Linked DNA regions of Schizosaccharomyces pombe. The gene in region 2 interacts genetically with the main gene of each other region. Each region holds a gene or a part of one and is shown on either strand. Other genes may lie near its edges.

What was found.
Region 1: mutations in sck2 (region 2) and fft3 together harm fitness less than expected from each alone (positive genetic interaction), as found in Schizosaccharomyces pombe (2 studies listed by BioGRID).
Region 3: mutations in sck2 (region 2) and mub1 together harm fitness more than expected from each alone (negative genetic interaction), as found in Schizosaccharomyces pombe (2 studies listed by BioGRID).
Region 4: mutations in sck2 (region 2) and kti12 together harm fitness more than expected from each alone (negative genetic interaction), as found in Schizosaccharomyces pombe (2 studies listed by BioGRID).

Annotation. Positions count from the first base shown.
Region 1 is NC_003424.3:2,095,010-2,103,475, forward strand, and holds fft3 (protein Fft3), read right to left. Parts: upstream 6,797-8,466; 5' UTR 6,041-6,796; coding exon 3,272-6,040; 3' UTR 3,186-3,271; downstream 1-3,185. Other genes in the region: SPOM_SPAC25A8.03C (uncharacterized protein), read right to left, coding at 1,373-2,776; protein Atg14, read left to right, coding at 7,773-8,466. UniProt on the Schizosaccharomyces pombe protein: DNA helicase that possesses intrinsic ATP-dependent nucleosome-remodeling activity and is required for heterochromatin organization.
Region 2 is NC_003424.3:5,043,424-5,051,801, reverse strand, and holds sck2 (serine/threonine protein kinase S6K family Sck2), read left to right. Parts: upstream 1-2,789; 5' UTR 2,790-3,284; coding exon 3,285-5,225; 3' UTR 5,226-6,186; downstream 6,187-8,378. Other genes in the region: Golgi-specific 1-phosphatidylinositol 4-kinase, type III-beta Pik1, read left to right, coding at 23-2,393; ribosome biogenesis protein rlp24, read left to right, coding at 7,130-7,134, 7,185-7,323, 7,571-8,005. UniProt on the Schizosaccharomyces pombe protein: Protein kinase that is part of growth control pathway which is at least partially redundant with the cAMP pathway.
Region 3 is NC_003423.3:3,766,106-3,773,799, forward strand, and holds mub1 (armadillo-type fold protein, zf-MYND type zinc finger protein, Mub1-Rad6-Ubr2 ubiquitin ligase complex Mub1), read right to left. Parts: upstream 3,880-7,694; 5' UTR 2,873-3,879; coding exon 1,148-2,872; 3' UTR 501-1,147; downstream 1-500. Other genes in the region: mediator complex subunit Med10, read right to left, coding at 1-176; protein Cwf4, read right to left, coding at 4,928-6,952; RNA-binding protein Tma20, read left to right, coding at 7,203-7,213, 7,268-7,420, 7,476-7,573, 7,690-7,694.
Region 4 is NC_003424.3:4,391,228-4,397,101, forward strand, and holds kti12 (elongator complex-associated protein Kti2), read right to left. Parts: upstream 2,731-5,874; 5' UTR 2,663-2,730; coding exon 2,491-2,662; exon of another isoform or gene 2,346-2,490; coding exon 1,672-2,345; 3' UTR 1,586-1,671; downstream 1-1,585. Other genes in the region: Sec7 domain-containing protein sec72, read right to left, coding at 1-1,197; tsn1 (translin), read right to left, coding at 3,480-3,514, 3,572-3,740, 3,783-3,865, 3,904-4,140, 4,189-4,264, 4,303-4,365; vacuolar phytochelatin and glutathione S-conjugate ABC family transmembrane transporter Abc4, read right to left, coding at 4,705-5,874. UniProt on the Schizosaccharomyces pombe protein: Elongator complex-associated factor that is not a structural subunit but rather transiently contacts the complex.

The DNA.
Region 1 (8,466 bases), 2.9 Mb from region 2:
TATATAGATTTTTTGAAAGCCTCCGATGTGTTTTTTTTTATTTCCTGTTTTTTTGGGACCAGCGGTTGATTACCAAGATTACGTAAACTACCTTTGGTTCATCCTAGGATTGTGAAAATTGAACCATTTCTGACTAATCCTATTCAAACAATGATTCTATTATTATTTTATTTCTTTCTCTCTCATTCATGCTCACTTTAGATCAAACAAACCGATTTTGTGCTTGAAATACTTTCATTCCACAGGTGTTGGCATTTGTTATTACCTGTCCCATTTTCTGTAAACTGAGGTTACATACTTTGGCTCGCTTGATGAGTTTTTGGTGTTGACCTTTTGTATCGCTATTTTCATCTTTGCTTTATCGATGTAGCTGCGCCACTGTTGGCCTAAGTGGGGGACTTTGGGTTTCTCTATAGCTTTCCTACTAACTTAGTACTGGGAAAATAACATGGTTACGGTCACCTCTAATTTAACACAACCCAATGGAAAACATCGGTAAATCGATAAAACGTACGCTATTTTAAGTGCAAAATGCATTGATGGTCAGCCAGTCCATCATCATCCTTGGAAAGTTTTTGTGTATGCAAGGAATTGGTCAGCACTGAAAACAAAAGAAAACGGTTATAGAATGAAGTGTTAAACCTCTTCCCTTTCTCATCATAGTATCAATTTTAAATCAATCAATTTCATATATTCATATGTAAAACATCATACAGGATAATATTCTTGAGAAATTTGTAGGTGCTAAAAGACAATAGCAAATAAATCGCATAATCAAAACAGAGCGATTTCTCAAGAATGATTAAAAAAGAAATAATAATTAAAAGTAAAAAACCAAATAAAAAGATGAACGAGTTGTAATAAACTAAGCAAATAAATTAACTAATTAAATAAATAATTAATTAATTAAATAAGCAATAAAAAAAAACCCCAGGAAAATAAAACACAATGATATTATACAATGCGTTTAGGATCACGTCTTAATACAATAAAATTCGATTCTTAAAAAAAAAAAAAAAAATTTCAATGGATTATTAATGTTTATTGCAAAATCTTTAATAGGAAGATTATAGCAATTCAATCGATGTTCAATACAAAACTGAATACGGCTTGCGTTTGAAGATTGTATAAATTTCCGATATTTAATTATTTATGCAGTTTAAAGCTCGCATTCTCTTTCGAGTTGACACTGGCAATTTCATTATTTAACCTTTTCAACCCTAACTGAATATGATATTCTTTCCAATTTAAAGCTATTTTATTTATAACCAATTTTCAAAAAATAAATAAATAAATAACTAAAGTCAATTCACTAGCCCGCTTAGTGCACCTCTCAAGTTGAACAAAGAATAAGAAAAATAGTACTTGCCATTTAGTAATAATAAGTTGGCATAGACGAGACAACGTAGTAATTGTTGAAGGAATAAGGAACTTTTAGGTTTTTAGATGACGGTTCTACAGGAACGAAAAACTTTCTACCATGTTCATTAGACCATCGCCTTAAGAAATGGGGAAGTGAACAAATGAAGGACCGATTATGAGTAGCAAGCTGAAGTATATCTGAAACTAGATATAAAGGTGTGGGAAACACATATTTGACGGTCTCATTTTGAAACACGTGCCCAATGTTAGAAGACATTTTTTTTGTAGAAAAATCATTTTCCATACTTAAAACAGACGGTGCATTGATTCCAGGCAAGGATTTGTCAACGTGACACACGTCCATCAAAAGCAGACTGTGGTGCGGAAACTGTTTTGACAATCGTTCAAAAAATCTAATGGCTTTCGTAGGATAGTATGTGAGTTTTTGCGTGCTAAAAAAGGACCAAAATACTTGTTTAACACCGGAAAAGTACCGTTTAGCCCTGCTGTCGCTAAACCCTTGCTGAACATTAATCCTAGCTTGTTGAAATGCTAAATGGTAATTCAAAGAGCTAACTTTTTGGTGAGTATTTAGAGTGAAGAATTCGTTTAAAAAGTGCTCTGGACCAAGCCAGCACCGTTCCATCATCATGGCGCCGTTACTCTGACGAAATAAATCATGACCGAAGGAGCTAATTACCTGTAATGCCAATACAAAGCAAGGATTTGTATCAGTATGGTTCCACGTTAATGGATCACTAACATATATATCAATATGATCTCCATGCTTTGCATATCTCACAGATGTCAACATGCTCTTAAACCAGCTTGCTTGCCAAGAATTATGCAAGACTATATTGTATGTAGTACGTCCATAAACTTCAAGGTGATTTTTATAAAGATAATCAAGAATATCCAATGCTATTATTCCAGTCCCAGAATGAAAATCATATATTTTCAAATCAAACACCGGGAAATATCGAAGTTTATACTGCAACACCAAGTAGTTACTAATGGACTCAGAGAATAGAGACCTTTGCTTTTCATAGATGTTTAATGCCTTTTGAGGAATAGGTATTCCATGCAAAAAAGGATCAAATTCTTTGGAACATTTATGCCCTTCTTTCCTTAATACATGTACAGAATGGCTCAAATTATTGGTTGAGCCTGTCCAAAGTCGAGAATAGTAACCCTTGCTGGGATCAAACGTAGATTCATGAATATAATCGGCTAACGAAACCTTAGAATCGCGGTGCAACAAAAATCCATTATCAGTAGTATACCATCTTCTTGGGCCATGCAAAACTAGACCGGTATTTGTAAATGCAAGAGCACTAATTACTCTGCTTCCAAATAATAATGAAGCTTGATAAACTTGAGAGCGACTTAGCTTCCACATATAAAGATTCAGCATTTAACACTCTTTGTAGTATTAAAATTGAACAAAATTCATTATTTATTCGATTACTATTATTCGAAGTTGAGAAATAAAATGTAATAATATGATTTCATAAACTTACTAGGTGAAGTGCTTTCCTCTGTCAACTTTTGTTTTGCAAGTTTTAGAACGACTTTGGATAATAAGAATCGCTTATTTGCTGTATTATCTTCAAAAAAGACTGACCATTTTCACGACGCGTTTTTGGCGTGGTATATAAATGGTGTCAAGAAGCTAAAAGCTTTCATATTAGGTTGAAGAAGTACTGAATTTGTATCATTCAATAAATAGAATTTACTTTTACAAATCAAATCTTTTAATCTGATTTAGTGAAACGGGATCGACTTATAACGTGCAAAACACAAATACAGATAATACAATTGAAAATAAAGAGAAAGGTTTACTCGAATAAAGTAGAAACCTAATCAATTTGACTATTTTAAAACTAATGCATAAAAAACCCTGTATAAACTAATCATCGTCATCTTCAGCCTCCACAGTTTCGGCATTGCCGGAAAGAGTCGCATCCAAAGCAATTTTAGCGTTGGCTAAACGTTGAATGTGCTCTTCGATGGTATCCTTGACAACAAATTTATAAACTGTAACTTCTTTCTTTTGGCCAACTCTATGTGCTCTATCTTCCGCCTGAAGGTCATCGAATGGATTGAAAGAGACATCATAAAGAATAACCATATTAGCACACGCAAGATTGATACCAAAACCGCCGGCTTTGGTAGAAAGAAGAAATACATTAATGCTTTCATCAGCATAAAATTGATCGATGAGATCCTGGCGGAAATCGACTTGTGTAGAACCATCAAATCTTAAAAACTTTAGATTTAATGATTTCATGACAAGTTGAAGAATGTCCAAAACCTGTGTAAACTGACTAAATAATACAACTCTGTCGCCATTTTCAACAGCATTAGTGAGCAGTTTTTTAAGTTTTCTGACCTTTGTGGCGTCCATCCAAGGTTCATCTTTAAGTTGGAATGAATTGATAGACGGAAATTTGCAACACAAATTATGTAGCTCAATATCTGACATGTACTGCATGTCTTCAAATATATAAAGTTCGTTTGCCTTTTTGTATTGGGGTTCATTCATAATAGCTTTCGCCATTTGTCGAAGGATATCATCTTTATAATGAATTCGAAACAACATAGGGTGATCCGCAAGCTTACGAAGCTGTACAAGCACAAAACCAGCTGTGCTTTTCTTCTTTGCAAGATTTGCATTCGTATCTAAATTAGTTTTCATGACATTTTCATCCAATAAAGAATTTACACTTTGTTTGCTAGCGAAGTCATCATAACGGCGACGTTCCTCTTCGGAAAATTCGCAAAATTCTATAATACGCGTTTTCTTCGGCAAAGCATCTAACACCTGGCTCTTTTTACGGCGAAGGACAAATGGGGCCATCATCATTTTGGCTCTCGATACTCGCTGTTCTGAAAGCAATGCTCGTTCAAAGTCGCTTTCTGGGGATTTTTTCATAGTAAAAATGACATCTAAACTTTTCAAACCATAATCAAATACATGAGGAAGAATGAACGCTAAAAGCGAAATTAATTCTTTAAGATTATTCTGTAGCGGTGTACCAGTTAGCAAAACTCGAAAGTCGGCAGGAATACTCATCAAATGACGATATCTCTCAGACGCACGGTTTTTCAAGTAATGACCTTCGTCATATACACAAACATTGAACTTTTGGTTGCGCAAAAACAAACGATCAGCCTTACTAGTAGCGGCTAAACGGTAGGTGGTTAACATAACGTTATAAGAATCTTTATTAGAGTTGATACGTTCACGAATTTCTTCACGTTCGACTTGCGATCCATAATAAAGTTCAATTTTTAGCTTGGGACAGAACTTGGCAAATTCACGTAACCAATTCTCCATCGTTGAAGCAGGTGCAATTACCAAATGTGGCCCGTTAATATTTTTATCCATGAGTAATGAGAAAAAAGCGATGGTTTGACAAGTTTTACCGAGCCCCATTTCATCAGCCAGGATACCAGCCAGTTTGAGCTCGTACAAAAGGTAAAGCCAATTAATCCCAATGATCTGATAATCCTGTAGTTTGATATCGGGCGAAAAAGATGCAGGAGGTGTAGTGATAAACGAGGAATTTGCAGGCGTACCGAAACTTTTCATTTGATCAAAGTTGACAAGAGAAGTTTCACCTTCATCAGATGTAGCAGTGTTTGACAAGCCCCACGCTTCAATGCCGCGCTGAATTTTACCACCTAGCTGCTCACACTGACGAATAAGCGCATCCACTACGAAATAACCACGCATAATTTCCATACATATACCAACTAAACGTGGTCCAAGAGGAGTTTTTTCACGTCTACCTCGTCTACCTTTGGGAATCACCGGACGAGGTTGCTTAACGACCAAAGCAGATTCAAGATCTGGAAAAGGTCTTTTGGCAACCATAAATTCAGCTTCAGCAAGCGTACAACCTGTCATGTCAGCCAAATCCTGTGTTGAACAACGATTCATATATTTAAGAACTTCCTCCTTTAGAGCAGCAGTATCTATACGAGATGCCCAGCGATCTGCATTTGAATCATCATCAGAGTACATATCATCATTGCTGTCATCGTCAGCTTCAGGCTCATAAGTCTTTCGAGATGACAATGGCAAGGTAAATTGAAGTCCGTTAGTAAGATTATTAGCAGCATATCGTTCTCTCATTGTAAGACGATGTGGGGCTGGCTTTTGATTTGTAACCTGTGAACTCAGTGATTGAGACGATAATGAAAGAGGTAAAGAATCGCTTGCTTCTTCGTCATCCATGTAAGAGGGCATTTTGGGCTCTGTCTCAGAGAATTGAGATAAAGCATTGTAAACAGCGCCGTATGGATTTTGGGCATCCATAAATTGCGAAGGAGTGCCAGCAGAAGGTGTAGGAACAAGATTTTCTAACGAACCGGAATAATTATATGGTTGATTTATGGAGTTAGCAGAGGAAGTAAATGAGGGAGAAATATCACTCAACTGCTTGAAATGTTCTAAACTTGAAATGGGTGCAGTAGCCTGAACTCGTTTAGACATCTCTGAAAGAATCTGAAGTCGCGAATTCATACCACCCCCCATAACATTAGCTTTTTCGGTAGCTTCTGAAAGCGAATCAGCAATGAAAGGGGGGAAAATTGGCTTGCGCTTCACGTTGGAAGTCGCGTCGTAATGCGTGCCATCAGCGGTATGCTCTATTTTTCTTTTTCCATCCATAATTAAGTAACAATCAATGTATCCAAGCAAATGGCAAAAGAAAATTGAATCTAAAATATAGGATTTGGAGAAAAAATATGTAAGGTCACGTGTATATTATGAATAATTTTATCACACGAATTAAGAGCGCCGAGAATAGATGCAAAAAGATTGAAACTTTTTAAATTCTCCTAAGATTAATTAAAATGGAAGAAATAACGACAAAACAATACAGATTTCTTGTTTCACGCGTTTCTTGGTAACTCAAATAGTTGAAAACTTAATATGGGAACAGCAGATTACAAAAAATTTTGAGGGCCAAAACTTATTGCAATTTCTAAAACAAGAAACAATTCCTTTAGTTACGAGATGTGTATGAGTTAATTAGGATAGACCACCTTCTTCTAATACATAAGCGTTGTTTCGAGATGATATGCAGAATTTAATGAAGAAAAATAAAATGTAAATGAAAAGTAGACAAAAAAATTTTAAAATATAAATTTAAAATTTTCCTGATGTTTAAGATGAAGCAAACTTGGTAAGCTCTAGCAATAAACAAATACTCGCAATTAAAGATCACCAAAAACGACTTATACTTTGGCTATCCAAAAACAATCTTTGTTTAAAAAAAGAAAAAGAAAATTACCAAAATTAAAATAATAACACTCAATGAATCGGATTGTTAAAGAAAAAGACTCCAGTCACCCAATACCTTCTTTTGTATTATGGAATTATTCGGTATAATTCAAGAGCACACTATGCTGGTAGTTTGTTCTTGATGTGGCACGGGGGCGTGATATGGTGGTAGTGGTCCCAAATACTGATGCTAAATAATGCCTTAAACGTTGTAACGTAGTTTATGGTAAAGCTATATCATGATGGCAACTTGCTCTTTATATTACTAAACATTTAGCAAAAGATACCGTGGCGAAATTGTCTTTATTCTTTTATAGTTTTAATAAAATCATTAAACATAACTGCAGATACTAGAGATCTTTTGTCACTGAACCTTAAGAAATATGACAACAAATAGTGTTTCGTTATATTATGGCAGCGTACCACGTTATGTTTTCTAGGTGATACTGCAAAAGCTAATGTTAAAAGAGGATGGTTTGGGTTCTAGGATTATATTATTTAGTTAATATTTTATTAACCTATTTATTTAGATAAAATAGTTTTGTAAAACACCTTGCTCATCACTCAAAGTTATTTAGCAAAAATTTGAGTGTCGAGTAACAGGCTACTTTAAGGAAATATTTTTAAACGCTTTATAAAGTAACTATTTGCATACGATTGTAGTAATCAATACGAACATCAACTGCTAAGTAGCTACTTCGGGGATTTGAAGAAATAGAAGTCCATCTACTCATTGCATTGAATTCGTATAATATAATTTTTTCTTAATATTTGTCGTTTTTTCTGTCAAAAATATCGCATTGGTTGTTCAATTCTGCAAGAACAGCCAGGAATGCAGTTTCACTTTTAAATTAATATTTTTGAATTTGTCCGTTAGGAGGCCCTTCGTTTCTAAGAATAATTGTTTAAAAACCTGCGCTGTTTATTTTTTTTCCCTTTTTCTTCTTTGTTTTTGCTTCATTATTTTAACAACACCTATATTGTATACAAGTTGACAGTTAACGTAGTAGGAAATTAATATCCTGCTGGGTTTTTAAGTTTTCTTATTGCTGTGCTATAATTGAAATTTGCGTACCACTTGAAGGCATTGTTGGATCTAAACTGAAGGTGTGTTTGTATGCTGCATGTCAATAAATGCCAATTATGCGAAACAAGACGTCCTTCTATTTGCGAAAGCTGTTTAAAAAAGCAGCTTTATGATTTTTATCATAAACGTGATGAATTCTCTCGAGATATTGAGTCAGAGCTTGAAAAGGTTGCTAAATTGAAATCAGAAAGTTTCTCTCTAAAAGGAAAGATTACCCAAAAAGAGGAATTAACTTATCGACTACAGAACCTTGCTGCCTCTCTAAACGAAAAGAAATCGTTATCGTGTGACTTGCATTCCCGCAAACAGCTTATAGAAGATGACTTGTCTAATCGCAAAAAATCAATTAATATCGCGAGTCAAAAGTTAGCTGGCTTATCACATTCAACGAGTGACTATTTCTCTAAGGAATACCTTACAGCTTATCGCCGTTCTGAGCTACTTCAAAATAAATTGCATGAGTATCAAAAGAAGCTGATAACAAGGGTTTTGGATATGTATCAACTTCACTGGCAAAGGGATTTAGTGCTTAACACTCAGGGTTGCACTCAAAAATCTGCTCAAATGGGATCAGAGTTTAACCCTGACTCCATAGATTCATCTCTTGCGTATAGACTTTCAAAATTATCAATGGGCAATTCGAAATCCGACTTATCTCATAGTGACAATGAAACAGGACATTTTTATAGCAACTTTTTTTCTCAGGTGATGGAGTTAAATGCCT
Region 2 (8,378 bases):
CATCTCTAATATCATACTGTAGTCATCTCGTCCTTAACAAAGATTCTGAAAGCGTTGCTTTAGAAGAATTTATCATTTCTCAATGTGAACAAAATACACAATGCGCACTCATTACATTTTGGTATTTGCAAGCCCATATGGTGGATCTAGGTTTACAGCCGCATTCTTCTTGTTTTAAAATATGTAAACGACTTTACAATCGTATTCAGATTTTGGTTTTCATGTCATCATCATCGTTAATACAGTCCCAACAAAAAATCTCCGAAAATGTAACCCCTGCCCTAATCCTTTCAGGCATCATGCTAGGTGGTGTTTGTGTGCCTGAACTACTAAAAAAAGCTGGCCCCATTGCAATTGCTCAAGGCCGTAAAGCCCCTAGGCAAGATCCAGATGAATCAGATGTTGATGTTTTACGCCGTCTTTCCACCGAACCTCGATATTCTCTGGACGTATTACGTTCGTCTTTGAACAACTCTATTGTCGAGCAACATTCCGAAGTATCCCTTAGACTAAAAGCTCCAGAACTAACCCGCACCCATTCATATCAATCATCAGCTACATTATCTATTGACGAACAGCGTCGTGTTCTACGCTCTAATTATTTTCAACAAGAAATTCAATTTCTTTTTGCTTTACAAGATATATCTATCCGTCTCATCATTGTACCTAGACAAGCTCGCCTTTCTTCATTACGCGCCGAACTTGCTCTTTTAAATAACAACCTTCCAGCCGATGTGAACATACCGCTTTTACGATCATATCATAAAGAAGTGAGTCATAAAATCGTTCGCATTGATCCTAAAGAGGCTACCATACTCAATTCTGCCGAACGAGTACCTTATCTTATTATGGTTGAGGTCCTATCTGGTGAACTCAGCTTCGAGCCACAATCGAAGAAAAATAAGGCTAAGGTGCAAAAGATTGTCTCTCATAAAAACCAAAGAAAAAGGTGGTTTGACCTCACAGATGTCGATCCTTATACGAACCTTCAAGACAGTACCGACAATGATATTTCAGAGTCGGAAAGTGAGGGAGGGGATTTAAGTATGTCTCCTCTGATAAAAGGGTTGGTACCGGACACTCTTTCTTTGAGTAAGTCATTCTCTTCGTTTGGTAATGTATCTTTGCAGGTACCGTCCTCTCATAGAGATACCGATGTCGTCCTGTTATCTGGGCGCCACTCTGATTCTGATGGAAATGGCGCCTTAAAAAGAAGTAAAATCTATGCTTCAGAAATAACAGCGAGAATGCGAGCTGCGGCAACTATGCTAAGTCAGCTTGATGCTGAAGGTAGCAGACGTCCCAAAGCTGAGACTGAACGAATAAAAAATAGCATTATTCTTGACATGCAAAGACTCGAAGAAGAGCGCCTTAATGAACCATCCATTTATCCTGTTTCAGTCGACATATCATGCGCAGAAGATCTGCGATTTGGCAAAGAAACTCAAAAGGCAGAACGGAAAGGTGATAGAGATGATCCCAGTGCCGCTACATTCCAAGAAGATTGGTATGCCAAGAAGGAAAGGATAAGAAAGTCTTCTCCTTATGGTCATTATCCCAATTGGGATTTGGTCAGTGTGATTGTTAAAACGGGTGCGGATCTCCGGCAAGAGACATTTGCCTGTCAACTTATATACGCGTTTCAGCGTGTTTGGCTAGAGTGTAAAGAAAAGGTTTGGGTTCGAAGGATGAAAATTTTAGTGACCGGCGACAATAGTGGCTTAATAGAAACGATTACAAATGCCATTAGTGTTCACTCTATTAAAAAGAATTTGACGAAACAGCTTCGGGAAGCTGAACTAGCCCAAGGAAAAATTGCTGGTAAAAATGTTGTTACATTGAAGGATTATTTTATAAAGCAGTTTGGTGATCCCAACAGCAGCCGGTATCGACAGGCACAGACAAATTTCCTTCAATCATTAGTGGCATATAGCATTATATCATACTTACTACAGTTAAAGGATAGACATAATGGTAACGTTCTTATTGATAGTGAAGGTCATATTATACATATTGATTTTGGCTTTTTACTTACGAATACACCGGGGAATGTTGGCTTTGAAAGCGCTCCATTTAAGCTTACGGCGGATTATTTAGAAATCCTTGACGACCGGTTTGATGAATATCGTTCCTTGATGAAAGCTGCGTTTAAATCTGTTCGAAAAAACGCTGATCAGATCATTTTGCTTGTTGAAGTTATGCAAAATAATTCCACAATGCCTTGCTTTCGTGCTGGTGAAAACACAAGTGCACAACTTTTGCAACGTTTTCAACTACAGCTTGGTGACAAAGAATGTGATGACTTTGTGGATTTGTTGATTCAAAAGGCAAATTGTAGTGTTTGGACGAGACTTTATGATCTGTTTCAAAATATTACGAACGGAATTTACTAGTAAGTGGCTATTCGTTTTCTCTTTTCATTTTTTTCGAATACAGCTACGGAGCTTCCACACTTGAACCATACTGCTGGTTGGCTTTTTTAACTTTCAATATTGTATTAAAATCACCACATTCACCATGGTTCGTAAATTTGGTAATTTTTTTGTTAGCTAGATTAGCTATATTAATGCATTAAAAATATTTTATGTGATCTATATGATTTATCATACCCACTAGAAACCCTTGCAATTATAATATACTATTAAAGCATACTGTCTAAATTAACTGCATTTCTAAGTTAGCAAACAATTTGGCGTAGTTAAATCCGGGTTAAAGAATCCTTTCGCACTTCCGTATATTGACATACCAAATTTTAAAGTAAGATTAGGTACTGCAACCCACTTCAATTTACCCTTTACCATCAAATTGAAAAATTAGGCGCAAACAGTAATTGTATATTAGAACTTGGAATTTTTTTCTTTTCATTTATAATTTTGTGTTATAATCCTTTGTTCCTTCTTCTACTAGGGGTTGTTTCTTTGCACAATATTGTAGTTGACATTGGTTAATGGGGTATCTTCATATTGATTACAGTATTCGTGATATAACAAAGAAATTTGGTAGGAAAATTTTAGTGTTGATTAATAGTTTTTCTTATCAGGATTATATCCAACTGAGGTGAATTATTACTTGAGACTTTACATCATTAAATTTTATGCAGGTATTAAGTCGTGATTATATCAGTCAAACAAGTACCTTTTGAATTCATTTTCATACCTCTTCTTGCTTGAAAGAAAGAAAATCCCTTTTTGCATCTACAAGCAATTAATCCAACAGTGACATTTTGTGTTCGTATTTTCTTTTACAATAATCGTACATAAATTGGTTTTTTGAGTGATTATAAAATGATGAATAAGTGGGCAAAAAATTGGTTCGGGCTGTCTAAAAAATCGGTTTCCACCAATTCTGCTAAAGGGTCACTTCCCCGAAGTCCTTTGGCAAGCATCCAAACCAATCAACCAGTTGAGGAAGGTGAAGGTGGTTCACTTCCTTCAGTTTCAAATTTAGGTCCTTCCTCGATAGACCATCCCATGGAAGAATTCGCCAGTGACCAGTCTACGGTTGGTAACAGAAATAGTAATGATATATTACCTGAAGTTGACCATGAACCTTCAGGCTATTTGAAACTTCAAATAGGTTCATTAGTTTTGGGAGGACCTCATACTGATGCAGCATTAGCCATGGAATGCTCAAGACTTAATCAGTTGTTTGTTGTTGTTCAATTTGGTACGACGGAGTTTGTTTCACCTCCATTGAAATGGGAATCACCTGGCCGTGATATAGGCACATCTAGTCGGGATTCTGCTAATGTGAGTAGGAGTTCATCTATGATGAGCTCTCATCCCATTCCTACTCCTGCAATTCAACGTACGTCTTCAATTCCAAATCCCTTAACTCCATCTTATGTTGTATTTGATGTTGCTAAACCGGTCCCCATCGATGTTAATATTTATGACCATGGTAATAATAATGAATTTGTTGGGAGAACTTACATTCACCCGTCTTATAATTATGGTCAATTTGAACAGTTTTGCAACAGCGTTGAAGTTTCTCCCGCATACAACCGTATGGTTGATCTTCGTCTTTCTCTCAATACTGTTTTCCAGCCTCTCAGTCAACACTCCTACGGCCCTGATGACTTCGTTCCGTTGAAATTAATTGGAAAAGGTACATTTGGTCAAGTCTATCTTGTTCGTAAAAAAGACACCGAGCGCGTATACGCAATGAAAGTACTTTCCAAAAAAGTAATAGTCCGTCGCAAAGAAGTTGCACACACTGTTGGGGAAAGAGACATTCTCGTCCAAACTTCTGCAGCTGATTCGCCCTTCATCGTTGCTTTACGTTTCTCTTTTCAGACCCCCAAAGATTTATATTTGGTGACAGATTATATGGCTGGAGGCGAATTATTTTGGCACCTTCAAAAATCGGTACGATTTCCAGAAGAAAGGGCAAAATTCTATATTGCCGAATTGTTGCTTGCTTTGCAAGCGTTGCATAAACGAGGAATTGTATATCGGGATTTGAAACCTGAAAACATTCTTTTGGACGTTCAAGGACATATTGCCTTATGTGATTTCGGTTTGTCAAAGGCCAATCTTTCAGTGGGGACTACTACACGTACGTTTTGCGGTACCACGGATTATCTAGCTCCTGAGGTTATTTTAGACGAAGCAGGGTATGATATGATGGTTGACTTCTGGTCTTTAGGGGTACTTTTGTACGAGATGACATGTGGCTGGAGCCCTTTCTACGCTGATAACACACAACAACTTTACAAGAATATCGTGTTTGGTAAAGTCCGTTTTCCTAGAGGGTTGCTATCTGTAGAAGCCAGAGATTTGATTAAGCTATTATTGAATCGTAATCCAAAGCATAGGCTTGGTGCACATGGGGATGTTGAAGAGGTAATGAAGCATCCATTTTTTGATGGAATTGATTGGAAGAAACTCGCTGCGAAAGAAATTAGTCCACCATTTAAACCAATAGTGGAAGGTGAAATAGATGTTTCTAATTTTGATGTCGAGTTTACAAATAAAGCAATCGATAGAGACTTTAGTAGCACAGATGAAATGTCGACCTCTGCACCTTTATCATCAACTGTCCAAAATGGGTTTAAGGGTTTTACCTATATTGACGCAAGTGCTATGGATGAAGCATTCGGATACCACAACTCAAATGATTCTGCTTCTAGTATTTCCAGTCAAGATGATTATTCTAAGGACAATTCCGATATGGACTTAAATCGTGCGAACGATGAGGTATTTATGGGACAAATAGATCCATAATACGTTTGGTCTCCACGAATGTATCACTGCATTGAGAATCTTATGCCCATATTTTTTCTAGGCTGGATCCCTGAACCCGAGAGTATCTTTTTGTACACGCTTTCAATCGTTGTACTATTTTCTTATTTACTAGTTGTCCAGCAAAATTTCAACATGTATTTTGAAGGACAGGTAAATAATGTTTTAATTTAATCAGCGCTTAATCATTGAAGCGTATCGTTTTAATTTTTTTTTATTTCCCTTCTAAGAATGATTTTTTAGGATTGTTATTAAGATGCCTGTTTATGTGGAAGCAGGTTCGGGTGAAGTTCATTTTTTTTCGGTGCATATTAAGGGAATACTTAATGATCAAAGGATCTATTATTTCTATATTTTAATCTACGTTCACCAGGCTTTTTTGGTGTAATGTTGGGCTTGTATGGCGTTGAATCAACTAATTTTGGAACAAATTGTGCTTAGTTTTTTTGGTTCCGAACTATGACTTAATTGTGTACAGTGGTAATTACACAATTCCAAAATTCGTTGAATTGGCTGACATTAGTAGTAAGGTATTTTGCTTTACTAAGTAATTGTCATCTTGCTTAAGGCTATTCTATCTCCAATTGTAATGTCTTCGATTTTGTTCCTCTCCTTATTTTTTTTTTATTTTTCTCTTTTGCTGGATAGACGTTTATTCAGTTAGGTTGAAGTTCAGTTTTACGAATGTATAATGGTGTATGTTAGAATCTAGTTAAAGACATATTCTTTTAAACGCAAAGGAATTTAAAAAAAAGAAAAGACAAAGTACAATAGCAGTATTATTGATGCCCTCCTTGAGGGTCGTTTTGTAATAGATCTTCAGATGAAGATGTATTTGGATACTGTCGTATACGATAATTTGTTTTAGATATAACGATAATGACATAAAAATTTTTTAACTATGGTTTTGGAAACCAGTTTATCGATTTTTATTTTACTTGTGATTCTCTTCATTCATTTGTCTTGTGGGTCTTTGCCACAAATATTCGATATAATGTTTATAAAAACTAAATATGTAAAAAAATAACCTGTACATTCATTTTATTAAAAAAAGTAATTATAATAAATATTCTTTAACTTATGGTACACATAATATTGTTATCATGTATGGTCTTGATGGAGAAAAGGTAAATAACTAAACTAAAAAATTTAAAACGAAGTAAAAAATATCGGTAAGTACGAAAAATAGATAAAATTTAATAAAAAAAGGAAAAAAAAAAAAACAATTACATTTTCTCAAAAATCACTTGAAAACTAAAGACTCTTCTTGTTTTGTAATACTAGACTTATTCAATTTGACTAAGTAAAACACACTTGTATAATAAATAGTATATTTTATTTGTAATGATAACAAGGTCTCGTGGCCCAATGGTTAAGGCGCTTGACTACGGATCAAGAGATTCCAGGTTCGACTCCTGGCGGGATCGTTTTTTCAAAAGCTCAAATATCGTGAATACTGTAAAATACCTTTTAAGATCGTGCGTCTATGTATCCTATTGCAATCCAGTAAACTGCATATGCATAGAGGGATTGTGTTTTTAAAAGCAATTAACCTCGGTAATATTATGTATTTATTTTTTTTGGCGTAGACACGCCTTTGATAAAGAAGCGATATGAGTTAACAAAAATTGAAGATAAAATTTATTATTAATAGGTTCCTAAGATTGCGTCCGAGACCATTCACTCGAAACTTCACCGAGATGGTATTTCATTAAATAACGCAACCTAACGATATATCATAAATTAGATAAGGCATATTTGGAATTCGCAAAACGCAGCTTAAGTAGAAGCTCGCATCTCAAATATGTGCGTTGTAGGGAGCGCGAATTTTTACCTGCTCTTAGCCAACTTGAACATACAAGGACGGGAAAGAATTTAGGGGGAATATGAGGTTTGTAGAGCTAAATGCCTTCAAAGTATTTATTACTAACGGAAATTTAGGGTACATACTTGCTATTTCTGCTCGGGTCCTGTTTACCCAGGACATGGAATAATGTTTGTTAGAAATGACTCCAAGGTCTTTCGTTTCTGTCGCAGCAAGTGCCATAAGAACTTCAAAATGAAGCGCAATCCTCGTAAGGTATGTTTTTTTTATAATAAAGGAATGCAAAAACGTTATACAGACTTGGTTGAGGAAGATGATTGATTTTGAAAGAGGAAAAATTTTTTTCTGTTGCCTTGTTTTGAAATGATACTTTTCTTCTTCAAATTCTACCTTAAATGGTGTACTTTTTCCTTTATATGCCCATGAACGAAGAAAGTTTTCTATTGTTTTTTTAAATGTTTTGCTTCCACCTATATGTATGTATACTAACTTCAATGTCTAGGTTGCTTGGACCAAAGCGTACCGTAAGGCACATGGAAAGGAAATGGTTTATGACACAGCTCTCGCAGTTACCGCAGCTCGTAGAAATGTTCCTGTTCGTTACGACCGTAATGTCATTGCAACTACTTTGAATGCCATGAAACGGGTTAGCCAAGTTCATGCCAAGAGAGAGCGTCTGTTTTACAAAAAGAGATTGGCTGGCAAACGTGCCCAAGAGCTTCAAGAAGCTCAAAAACTCATTGCTCAAAATGTTCCTCAATTTACCGAACCCGAAGGTGAGGTTGAAACTGCTGAGGTACAAGAACCCCAAATTGTTTCCGACGAGGAGTATACCATGGAAGAAGAAGTTGCAGAACCTGTCAAGATTCCCGTCCTCGCCAAAAAACGCAAAAACAAGAAATCTCGAAACTCATCTTCAGCCATGCAAATGGACTAAACACTCTTCTTCCTACAAAAATGTAACTCTCGATCTTCCGTTGGTTGCGTCCCGCTTCGTTCTTTTATTTTATTTTATTTTATTGTTTTATTCCTTTCAAATTTACAAAATAGTAGAAGAGAAGACATTTTTGGGGAGTGGTTTTCTTACACTTTCGAACTCTTTAGACACTTCGAAAACGTGTTTTTTAAAATTTATCTTGCATATCTAAAGTTGGCATTTGGTTTCGGCTTCTCTTCTCGTTTGGTTACTTCTTTGGACTTGCATGCTACGTGCAGATTAATATGGTTAATAATGGATTTTCGTGTATACATACTTGTAAACGAACCTATCTTCAGTTTGGAGCTTGTACAAGATACAACAGTCTAACAGT
Region 3 (7,694 bases), on a different chromosome or scaffold from region 2:
GGAAGAGATTTGAGATCTCTGATAAGAGTATCAAGGCTTTCAGGAATGGCATCAGATGGAGTAGTATCTTCAAGGTTATAAACGATCAATGCCAAGTCATAAAAAGCCTGAGTGGTGTCTTCTAAACGGCTTGCCAATGATTTCATTTCATCAGTCATGTCATCTTGGGGCAGCATTTCGAAAACCAAAGATAAAAATAGGTTTAAAGATCAATTTAATGCAGCACAAGTGCACTGAATACAGCAGCCTTCAATTTATTGCTGTCTCAACTGTATAATGGTTATGCTTAAACTACGGTACTTCTTCCAGTTCACTATTTGCAAGTGAGTTGGTTTAATTTTATAGTAATAAGCAAATTACAAAGTCTGTTCTACTAATAGAGAAATACTGAATTCATTATAATATTGATTCCTCCTAAATGTTCTATAAATATTAGCGTCAACAGACAAGATAACTTGAAATAATACTTTCGTTTAGTCAATTTAGCGAAAGCATCATTAGTACGATCTATTTCTTGACTTCCAGGTATACAAGTACAAAAAGCTTTAGCCTTCATGCAATATCACATCGTATTGCTTTAGCCCTGTTCATAGGTTTAACTATTCCGAAAAAGCTATGTATAATTTTTGACTAATTTATTAATAAGTAACCAAGTCAAACAAAAACAAGTTGAAAAGAAAAAAGTTTATTATTTTAAGTAAAAGCATTTAAGTTACGAGAAAAAACGATAAGCAACAGAAGGACAGTCGGAAAAGAAACTCGAAGTTTTAATAAATTAGGACAGTGGCCTCCACACCTTCGTACCTCCCTGTAGGTTTCAAAAGCTTTCATGATTATTGCCCTGCTAAAACCACACGATATCCATAATAAGAAGAACAAATCTGAATGTATCGGCAATTAATTGCATAAAAAAAGGTTAAACGATTAACTTAATTGCGAGTAAAGAGTTAGCTGAAATTCATATTCTTCACGGCACATGAAATAATAATTGATGGCAAAGGGAATTAAGGAATGAATTCAAAACGTAGTATTGAATGCCGGAAAAATGATTAAAAGAATATGTGTGACCTCCAACTGTAAGTCTATTTGAAGCGTAAGCATACCTAGTAAGAAATGGATAGAAATTGTCATTAAACTGTCATTAGTACTACAATCTGCTATCACTCTGAGTGCTTGAAGTTACAGATTCTGTTCCAACAGGAATAACAGATGCAGCCGGGGATGCTGTTGATTCGCTTTCAGTGACTGAGTTTATTTTTGAGCTCTCTCGTTTGGAATTCCTGCCATCTTTATGAATTACGCGACACCATCGACTATGTCCCGGCCATGCTTGATGCTGGCATTCTTTACTGCAATATTTTGTACGTCGGCATCTTCTGCATTTAGCAAATTGACGACTGTGCTCTTCCCATTTGTTACATAACAAATTGGCGCATCGACGTATACCACCATGACTTTCATCTTTCCGACAGTAATTATTCATGATAGCTCTGGCCCAGTATTGAACTTGTGGGGGGTAGAATTTCAAGGTGAACTGCTCGACTAACTGAAAAATATTCCACGTTTTACTGCCGCTACGTAAGGGCGACATACGTAAACTTGGAACATCTTTAGAAGACTCGAAGTAAGGACGCATATGGAAATAGTTTTTACTAGTATAAGCAAGAATTTGCAAACCAAAAAGTATATCTTCTTCACGAGGGAGTTTATTAATCTTCTTATCAAAGTTGTCAAAGAATGAGGCAATCCCGTGATAATCAACTACATTTTCGGGCCTGCGGCCATCTAATAACGCAGATGTAGAAGGAACACCAGGTAAAAGTTGATTACGACGCTGACGATTATTCAAGGCCTGTGATTGAACATTATTTAAAGACAATTGCACATCCCGTGATGAATCCTGAGTAGTAGTCATAATATTAAGCGGAGTTGGAAAGAAAAAATTTGGAGAGTCTATCTCGTCATTAATTGTCTCACTAGCAGGGCCTGTTTGACGAGAGTATGAAGGAGAAGAAGGGGTAGTCATGTTATAATTAACATTTTCAGTAGAAGTAGGAGTAGAGGGTGCAGCTGATGAAATTCTTTGAATGGTTAATGGAGAGTTTGCTTGAACACGAGGATCTTGAAATGAATCATTTGAATAAATGGAGCCGGAGGATCGATCATGACTAGTGGTAGAGCTTGATCCCAATAAATCACGATTCACGGAATGTCGAAACGTAGATTGATTTGGAAGTTGGACATCTCCACTATCCCGTAAATCCACCGAATAAACTCTTCTAGAGCTAGAGCTTGCCGTACTAGCTCCAAATGGAGATGGTACATCACCGTTGACGAACAAAGAGTCAGCAGATGAATTGTGTTGAGACACAGAATCAAGAGAATTGCTAATATTAGAATTAATGGGGAATGGAGCAGATGCGGATGATGGAGGAGGGGTAGTAGAAGGTGTAAGGGAAAATTGAAATCGAGAATGGTGAGAAACAACGGACTCAAGCGCAAACAAAAAATCATCTAAAAGGGTGACAACAATAGGAACGATACCAGCTTCCACAACACGAATTCGAATAGCTTCAGACCCACGTATCCCAACATTTACGACACACTGAAGAGCTAGCTGCCATATTGTCATTCGGGCAAATGTTTGTCCACGTCCGGCACGTAAAATATTCATTAAACGCATCAAACCACCATCCATAGTAAGGATCTCACGAATTTTCGGTGAAGTCGAAGTCAAATAAACGAGATGGCTTAATGAATTCATTAATGACATTTCGGAGTCACAGTCAAGCGCACGTCGATCATAAAGGACTGTATTGATAGTGACAGAAGCTTTGTTATTCCATACGATGCTAACGTTCGATTCCCTCATCTTTCTTTAATAATATATTTAACACGTATAAAGTTTTTTAAAGACAATTGCTGCAGTATAAATTACTGGCAAACGCAAAGATTGGCGTAAAACGAACGATGTGATAATATTTTTTTTAGTTAAAGACAAGCAGTTTTCGAATACCAAAATTTTACTCAATAATTTTCAAAACTGCTGTGTGTAAACGCAATAACCGAAGAGAAAAACCAAGAACAAACGCCGATAGCAGGAAGAATAAGTAGTGCCCCAAAATCACGAAAACGAAAAAAAATAAAAATTACTGTTTTCGCAGATTTTAAGTCCCGCCGAATTTGAAATCCTTTTAAGCAATCTACACCAATTATTCTTCAAAACGAGTAAACGTAAAAGGGACTACGGTTAGCTCAAGCTTGAAGTCAAGAACTGATAAAGGAGCAAAAAAAATACTAAAAGAAAAAGGAAGTAAGGAGCAAGGGCACTTTTTTAGCCGAGAAGCGACACAGATCAAGTAAGTTCAACAATAGGAAGTATAACAACGAAAAAGTTGTAACCCGGGGTCTGCTAAAATCACGAGGCTAAAGAAAGAGAGAAGTGGCAAACAAAAAAAACCCGAGATTAACGAAGATACAAAGAGAGAATGAATAAGAATAGTTTGATGAAAACCACAATAACCTTGAAAATAAAAATAAAGGATATGCTCAGTACCTTTTTAGACAAGATTAGTGGAAAATCAAATCACAGCTGACAAGAGTAAGAGAAGAGAGAATAGCACAAGATGATTTGCATCAATTAAAAAAGTAAAGTTCGAAGAAAAATGTTAGGATTTGGAAAAGGAAAACGGTGGTGAAGCTAAATCAGCCTTGTTGATAAACAAAGAATAAGTGTTTTCTTATAATCGCAAGGATTTAGCTTAAAAACCACAGTAAATAGTTTTTGCAAGTCCCTTAATTTTAATTGAATGAATTCTTTTTACGAAAATTTCCCGGATCCTCGTTCTCTTATTCAGATTCTTGGAAGTGGCAGTTGACAGAAGGCAACTTCATTTCACCCGAGTGTCAACCGAGTTTGAAAACGATCGTCAGTGAACGTACCTTTAAGGCACCATAACGCAAAGTATGCTGGGTTGTTACTGGCTATAATGGTTGGGAACTCTCGGCGATCTTTGATGCTGGATGTTACCTTTGAAGAGATCGACATCTCGGCAACAATAACTCAAAAAACTTGCTGCAACTTTAACTAGCAACAGTTGGTATTTCTTTCACTATAGTCAGTCATTTTTTATTCATACGAACATCTTTGTGTCTTTAAGTTTTTAGCAGAATCTGTGTATGAATTTTTTCTTTTAAGTCAAAATGTTGCCTAATACGTTGGTCGCATAAGCCGATTTTTGTATTCTGTAAATTCACTTTAGCAGAACATTTGGGTAAACCGGTCCGAATAAGCTGTCAGTGCTGAAAATAACCAATGTCAGATTTTGTAATCTCATTTGATTGACAAGTTCATCAGATCAGCACAACTCCAAACCAGCCGCTTCTTTACCTGTGAGTCCTGCCACTTTGAGTAACAAAACTAAAATTAGTCGCACTGGTAGATACTCGATCGTATGTCAATGGGGCAAGGTAAAGAACAATCAATTTATAAATATAAATATGTACATATTAAATATATTTTGGATTGGATTTTTCATTTTATTGTATTTTAATGTGTTATTTACGAATTGCGTTGGATTCTTCAAAATTGTCATGTTTACAACTTTCTCATTTCTACAAGTGTGATTCCCTCAACATAATATCCATAAATTTTTCGCTTATCTTGCTTAGTAAGTAAACTCAGATCGAAACTCAAGGTTAATAATACTAATATGGATTGCTTGTCTTATTTCTACGCGCCATTCCGGCCTTTCAAATGCAAAAACAGTTATTTTATTATTATCCGAACAGTCCAAAGCGCTGAATATCCTCAACTTCGTAACAACGTCCATTTACATGACCCATTGCCTCGTAAACAATTAATTACTAATATTTTACACGATTACTAAATATTAAACTGATAGCGCCAATAAATGTCATATGTAATCTAGGCCTCCAGCTTCTTTTTAGCCATTTCCTCTTTCCATTTTCGCGAAAGTTCGAGCATTTTGCGCATCTTATCTCCTTGATCAGTCGCCGTATCCGGAAACAGATAGTCCAAATATTCTTCGAATGAACCGTCTTCAAGTCTACGGCGTTTCTTAACAACCTGTGGCATTAGTGAAGAGACATGCTTACGTGTATCTTCCGTGCCATGCATTGCCTCAAATTGTTTCCATGCTTCAAGTAATACAACTCGCTCTTCCTTCAAACCCTGCTGGCGTAAATGGGCCAATGCATTTTCAAAAACATTTCGCGCACGCACAACAGCGGTTGGAGAAGCCACTTCTTCATTCGGTGGTTCTTCGTCATCGTCCTCCAGATGGGCAATTTCAAAGTTTGCAAAACTAATCCAAACTTTAACATGAGGTGCAGTCCGTAGTAACTGCTGGTAAATACTTCTAGCTTTTCCGTATTCCATTTCCTCGAATTCAAAATCAATATAAGCCTTCCACACAAGCTCTGGGGTTTCCAAAATAGGCTGGTTTACAGCCAAATTATATAAAGCGCGAGCACGATCACTATCTCCAAGCTTAGTCTCTAAGGCAGCGTAACCAAGCCAGGGAGCACAAGCCTCGGGATCATAAAGAATCCATTTTTCATAAAGAATTCGACACCTGTCAAACTGCTTAATTGCGTCTTCGAATTCAATATAACCTCGGAATAATTTTGGTTTTGGACACATTCCCAACGCACGACCCAACGTTTTTCTAGCAACATCAATCTTACGTTGCCTAAGCTCAAACATTGCATACATGAGCCATAATTTGGCAAATGTAAATTTTTTATGGGGTATAAGCTTGAGAGCTTCTTGGTAAACCTTTCTTGCGCGGTCAACGTCCTTCACATCTATCTCTTCAAATAAGCAATAGTTTAACCAAATATAAACGTAACGTCTCCATGCGTTCTTTTCAACTACTTCAGGAACCTTAGCAATAGCTTTTTCGTAGGTTTCGCGAATAGTATTAATATCCCCTGCACTTTCTTCGAGCTTCAGCAAATCAAGCCAAGTGTCATAGTCATAAGGAGAATCCTTCAATAGCTTTTCGTATTGTAATCGACGCTTATCGAGCACAGTAGACTCAACGCCCAAATGATCTCCAAATTGTTTTTCAAAATGAGTGTATTCCTTATATAGTTCCATAGATTTTGATCGGGGCATAAAATCAATTGCATATTTGAAAATGGTGCGAGCTCGTTCATATTCCTTTTGACGAATTTCGAATTTTGCAAAAGCAATAAAAAACCGTTCATTCAGAAACTCCTGACCAAGAGCATCTATAGCAGCCAAATAGACTTGGCGAACGTTTGCAGCATTTCCGCATTCTTCTTCAAAACGAGCCCAACGAAGCCAATTCGTTACTTCAGGATGCACAACGACAAATCGTTCATATATGCCACGAGCCCGTTCGTTTTCATGGTACCTCCTCTCCATTCGAATATAACTCATCCAACAGTTTTCATCAGGCTCCCACTTAAGCCATCTTTCAAATACTTGTCTACAACCGGTGATATTTCCTAACATTTCCTCCATATATACGTATTTGTACCATAGTTTATCAACACGGGGAAGCTGTGTAACAGCACGATCAAATAAATTTCTGGCATGGTTGATATTTCGATTCTTCATTTCGCATTCAATATATTTCAGCCATAACGGTATATAAGTAGAATCTACATCCAAAGCTCTTTCAAAAACAGAGCGAGCTCTCGCAAATTCTTTTTGGTCTAATTCCCACTGACCATATCGCATCCAATGGCCCATAGCGAGACGATTCCGTCGAATGGCATCTTCAAATTCTTTACGTTTTCGACCTTGAAATTCTTGAAGCTCCTCAAGATCAGTGATATTAATTTTTGGAGGAACAAACGCCACATCTTGTCGTTCTACAGCTTCTCGGAGCAATTGTTCAGCTGAGATTTGGATGGGTGCTGGGTTCTTATTTTTTACCCTGGGCGCTTCCGAAGTCATCTTATATTATTCTGGATCTCTATAGTGTACAATTACTCAATAAATAATATGCTAGATTTATGTCTTCTCTTAACCAGTTGGCTTTTACTGTTAGAAGACAAAAACGTGCACAAATATGAATGAATATATCTAACGTTTGTAACCCTCGAGGTGGTAATCGGCAACACCGCGGATCATCCGAGAGGAGACCGCGGCTACAACCTAGTAACTTATTGTAGCAATGGTCTGCAGCTCCTATATACTCAATAATATGTTCAAACGGTATTGCTCTAAATTGGATTTATAATTTTGTAGGATGATTGCTAACCTCAACAGATTTAACTCTAGAGAAGATATAAAGGGAACTACTCCAATCAAGTCTTCTATTCAAAGAGGAATAAAAGCAAAACTAGTACAAGCTTATCCTAACTTAAAACAAGTTATCGATGAGTTAATTCCCAAAAAATCACAACTAACTCAAATAAAATGGTTCGTTCTTATCAGCATCCGTGATTTTTAGTATGTCGTACTGATATTGTTTAAGTGAGGATCGTTTATTTTTGTATACTTTGAATGGCGAAATTATCCTTTTCCAGCACTTCGACGGCCCTATCATTCCTTCTCTTCGTCTTGTTCATAAATGTGAGTATAAGCTAACGTAACCGCAACGTTTGATTGGAGTTCTGGTTTTTGTCTAGCTGGTCAGAATCGACAACAACATATCTGTGTTTAGTTCAAATATATACTAATACGCCTAGGTCCG
Region 4 (5,874 bases), 650 kb from region 2:
AAGTCGACACATGGATCGGAACACTAAAAACGCGTCTTGGATAGAGGAATTCTCAACACTGGTGACAGCTGGGTCATCTGCGTCAACTTTAACATGATCTAATGATGAAGTGCCAGCAGATGCCATAGAATGAAGAGTAATTTTCTTGTCAGGCTCATCCTCATCGTGAACCCAATTTTCCGTCACCGATGCATCTTCTTCCGGTAAAGCAGATGTAGAGTTCGACTGAGTGTGGCTCGCGCGTAATCGTTCATAGACTACAGTGACAGCCTGAGTCAAAGAAGCTTGAGCAACTGACTGTATAGTATCACTATCCCCGAGAAGAAAGACATTAAAGAGTTTACGAACAGAATTCAATAATATCGCTCCATGAAGCATACTATCCTGCTCAGAACATAAGATAAAGGCAGATAAAGCTTTTACAACATTCAATTGCAGATTTCCATCAACAACTTCATCATTGATACTATCGCATACCATATCAACCATACACTGTAGAAGGGATTTAGGGGGCCCAAATGAGGCAGGTGTTTTATCTTTTGAAGAAAAATAGGCGAATGAAGCAAGTTTAGAAATAGTGTCTAAAGAAATGTTCATAACTTCATCTTGACTGGATTCAAAGCAGTACTGAAATAACTCTACTATCAAAAATTTGTCAAACTGACATTCGGTTTGTAGAAGAGGTTTTAGTTGCTCCATTAAATTCTTCATCTTCTCGTTCTTCATACAAACTTTTATTTGTATAAGCTGCTCGATGCACTTTATAAGCACTACATGAGTGGATTTTTCCAAATTGGTTAAACCTGATTTTTGCTTTTCCAAACTGGCCCTCGATGCAGCGTCAGGTACAGGCGTCGCGATAGTTTCATTGGATTTTTTGTCGTCTTTCAAGTCTTCTTCTTGATATTTCTGCTCGATTCCTTCGGGACTCTTTTCGTTTTCTTGTTTCGCTGGCGACAACGACGAATCTTCTGTATTTATATCAATACTTACCACAGCATCGCCTTCTAAACTTTCAGAAGCAACACGACCGAGATCCATACCATTTTCATCATCTTCGTTGTCAGAATCATTAATAATTTTAGTAACTGATGTTGTTCCAACTTCTGGAAGATCTTCGTGTCTGTCATGTTGCTCATTCACGGAGTTCATAGGCAGAGCAGGCATATTGATCACAGGTTCAGAGGCATCCTGCATTTTGGCATCGGTCACGTTCAAGCCAATTGCCGTCTAGACGAGCCAACTTTTAGCAATGAAATATAAGGCGGAGTATGTCTTTGCTAAGTGTTTTCGGCCTTAATGTGTCGAACGTTAGATCTCGGTTCAATGTGCTACTTATATAAAGCAAACGAGCGAGACTTATAATAAATTGTTTTATTACAGTATGGATTAAATAGTAAACATTATAACTAGATTTATACAATATTCGTTGTTTTACTGAAACTTTTATTGTCGATATTGACCGTGAACGTTTTCTTATTTCTTTTTTACAGGACAGCATTCCTTAAACTGTAAAAGGATTAAGGAATTAAACAAAATGTACGATTTCTACCATTTTAAACATGTTCTAAAAAAAAGAAACAAACAAAGTTAAGTATTAATATTAGGCTACATTTTTTCGTCCCCTTAAAAATCCCAAAAAAAAATATCATAAAGTTTAAGAAAAGGATATCAGTCCAAGGTTTCAAATTGACCATTTAAAAATTCGACAAACATTTCCTTGAGAACATTGGTATTATATGATTGTTGCCGGTTAATTTGGATAAATTGACGGCGCAATCTTTGAAGTAAAGGAAGAGATACTGTAACACTGGGTAATGCGATTTGAAGTTTGCTCCCTGGTACAGTAATCAAGGAGGTATCGTTGGAATTATCCAGTATAAGCATGATTACGTCTTGAGTAGTTTTATCTAATTCATATAAATAGTTGACTTCAGCTGGAGGTTTTACCATTGTAGCTTGGTTAGGCTTGACATTTTTGTTATGAATAAGAACTGACCAGATGTCATCGATAGGACAAGAAGCATCATCGTGCAAGACAGTAAATAAAGGGGAATCCCATCGTGTCATTCCATTCGGTTCTTCATAACGAAACATTAATTGCTCAAGAACATCGTCAGGATACGGCTGTTCCTTGTTACTATTGAATTTTCGACATAAATCTTGAGGAACAGCAACATGAATCACACAATGAGTTGTGTACATAGACTTTGATTCACAATATAACTGGTATCGAAATCCTTTTATGTAATTCAAGGCATCGCAAATTACGAATGTAGATTTTGAAAGTTCACGCTGAACAGCAGAATAGAGAAGGCCACGAGCGGCCTTTTCGTTCTTGGACTCTAAGACAAATTAGTTACCAGAATTACGAAAAATTGCATATACGGATTCTCCCATCATCTAGAGTAGCTGGGCACAATCTGAAGCCAAAAATGAATTGGCTAATTTCCAAAAACTAAATCATTAAAGATAACTATTTAAACATACCTCGATATGTTTCTTTTTCAATGTTTAAACTCTCATCGTTTATTATTATCACCCGATAATCCTTTGTATTGTCGATATTTTGATGAATTCGATCTTCTAAAGCCTTTTTAAGTTCATTTGACCTCGTTGTTTTCCCTGAAGATGGATAACCTGAAACAATTATTAATGGCATTTTCTTTATGTTCTACAAAATAGAAGGTTGAATAAAATCAGCCGTAAAACATATGTTTGAAAACTTCCAGCTTTTTTTTGATATATTTTTTCATGAATTTAACGAAAATTACTAGTTCGTTAAACATTAGTAAACAGTTAATTTTTATCCTTAATTTGTATTTCGTAATGCGCTCAATTTCGGTACTGACTTATTACTTACGACTAGTAAGTATTGCTTAGGCTTAAAAACACAGTAATTTCAATTTGCGGTCTCTTTAATTTAATCTTGCTTCCCTTTACCTTATCAATTGTTCTAAAAGAATTAAGGATTAACACTAGTAAGACCCCGGATTTTAATCGCTAAAAAAACATGCACGCCTTCTACGCAATCAGGGTTGTTCAATTTAAAAATAGTAATCATTTGTTGAAAGATTTTAAAGGTGCATAGGACATCAAGAAATATAAGCTAAATGCAGTTGATTAAAAGTTAGAAAAGTATCTACTTATGCCGCCATTAACATGTATCTGGTAAAATGCGACTAACTTATAACACATGTTGTATACCAGTCCAATGATTAATTTAGTACCCTGGAAAACGTCTTGAATATTGGGTAAAGAAAAATCAGAACTTAAAGAAACCTAGGCTGAAATATTTTTTTTTTAAATAACTATTCAGTTTGCCAGAGAGTGTAACAAAATTAAAGAAAGAGAAATATAATTGCATTCATCATAGGACTGCCAGTTTCATAGCAAATAAGCAGACCTAATATTAAAAAAGCAATTTTATCGGCTCAATTTTAGTCAAGCGTACAGCTGGCAAATAAATTGTTAGCAATTTAAACCAATTTATGTATCCGAAGATCATAAACAACTGCATATGTCAGAAATAAACTATCAAAAAAAAAAAAAATCCACGTAAATTTCATACCGTCCTCAGATCTTTTCAAATCATATTTTAATCCATCGAAATGTCTTCTTAAGGAGTCGTTTTTCAAAGAGAGTACTTGAAAAGAAGAATGAACTTTTTGAATAGTATTTAGGGCCTCAAATGGAATATGATAGTTTCCAGATATTACTGAGTTTACAGATTGACGAGCCTAGAAATTGTGTCAATTTGGATTGTTGAATAGAATATATACCAGTTCAGAACACAGAGATAGTACTGCGTGCAAATATTGCTCAATTGAAAGATGAAAAGTGGACTCTTCTGGAAAAACCGGGACTGAAGATTGTGAGAAAAATGTAAAATAATTTACGCACCTTGCAAAATTTGACCAACTTCGGAAAGCGATAGAAGGCTGTACGTGGGTCTTAAACTTTTATCTAAACGACCGGTCCAGGAAGCTAGCAAATATAAATAAACAACTTTCTGAATTGATCGATCCCAGACTCCGTTATATTTATAGTATGGAAAATTCGATGCCAATTCTGCTAATCCTCTGGTTTTGCTTTTAATGATCTCAAGAGCTTCTAAAATTTCTTCCTGATTTTCTAAATCTTCCAAAGTTAGTCCATGTTCTTTTTCTTGTAAATTTTCATTTCTACTTTGTTCACAGTTTGCCAAGAGAAGTTGCAAAACTCTTAACTTTTCGTCTAACAAATCGACCTCTGCAGTCAGTTTCTGTAATGTTAGTTTGTCATAATTTCCAAGATTAGTACCTCCCGAATACTATGTTCTTTATCAATTTGATCTTGTAGCTGAATAAATATTGATTTATTCATTCGACTTAATCTGTAATGTATGCTGTTGAGTAGTGTTGATATTCGAATGATGTTTTCAGTATGCAAATAACACGACCGTTGTGATATTTATCAGCCAGATTATACCAACCTTTTTCTTAAGTCGTAAAATAAAGATAATCAATTTAGCGGGTATTTTGCAAGTTATTAACTAAAATTATTACTAGCTGCTAAAGAAACGCTTGGGTTGTTTAGATCTTTTATATGTAAAATGATATATTATGTAACTGAAGAAGAATCTAACCTAATTGAATAATTTCCTTTAAATTAATCTAAGCTTACAAAATAAGTTTCATCAGCCAACATTATTTAAAATTAAAATCATGCTGATTTCGAACCTCGAGTTTCAGGAGGCAGAAAAGTAATTCCACTGCCATCGCACATACGTCGAAAGTGACCATTATTATGATAAAGTACGGCTGGGGGACCATACTCTACCAATACACCCTTATCCAAGACCATGACTTTGTCATAATCAACAATAGTTTTCAAACGATGGGCAATACATAACATAGTTGCATCGCCAAATGCTTCACGCAATGTTTTTTGAATTTTCTGATCCATAGCATCATCCACAGAGGCAGTACACTCATCTAGAATAATAATTTTGGAACGTCTAACTATTGCGCGTGCTAATGCAAGGACTTGTTTTTGCCCTTGTGAAAAATTAGAACCTTCAGAAGCAACATGTGTATCTAGTGTGATATGAATAGGTTTTTGATCATCAGTATGAGCCATAATCATTGAACTGGCTCCACTTGTTTTGAGAGCTTCATTAAGAAAATTGTCTTCAAGCTCGTCGAAAGGATCTAAATTACTGCGTACGGTACCTGAAAATAAGATTGGATCTTGAGGGATAAATGATATACGTTGCCTTAAAGCGTTTAGGTTTACCGATTGTGTTTCACGACCGTTAATATATATTTCACCACTAATACGATGTGTAAACCGTAATAGTGTAAGGCCAAGAGTACTCTTTCCGCTACCAGTACGACCGACCACAGCAACCTTTTCACTCGGATTTATATGAAGATTCACGTCTTTAAGGATAGTAGGACCGGCTGCGGAATAGCTAACACTAACATGATTAAACACAATATCTCCCTCCTTAGGCCATGTAGCTGGTACCTGGCCTGCAATAGTGGGTGCTGGTTCTTGCGGAAGTTTGCTATACTCTAAAACTCGTTCATAGCTGTTCATCTCAGCTTGCAACGAATTACATGACCTTACAAATAACAGAACCGAAGAACTGAAAATAACAGCCTGATTAAGAGAAAAACCCACCACACCTGGAGACAAGTCTTTCTGCAAAAGAGCGATTAAACCGGCAATTGCACCAACTAGACCACTGATGCCATCTGTTCTAACAGCAACCCATCTGTTCAAATTATAAGAGGTTGATTGTAAGCGCACGAGATTATCAAGTCGCTCAGAAAACATTTGCTTAAAAATGGTTTGTCGATTGAATGCGCGAATTACACTCACACCGAC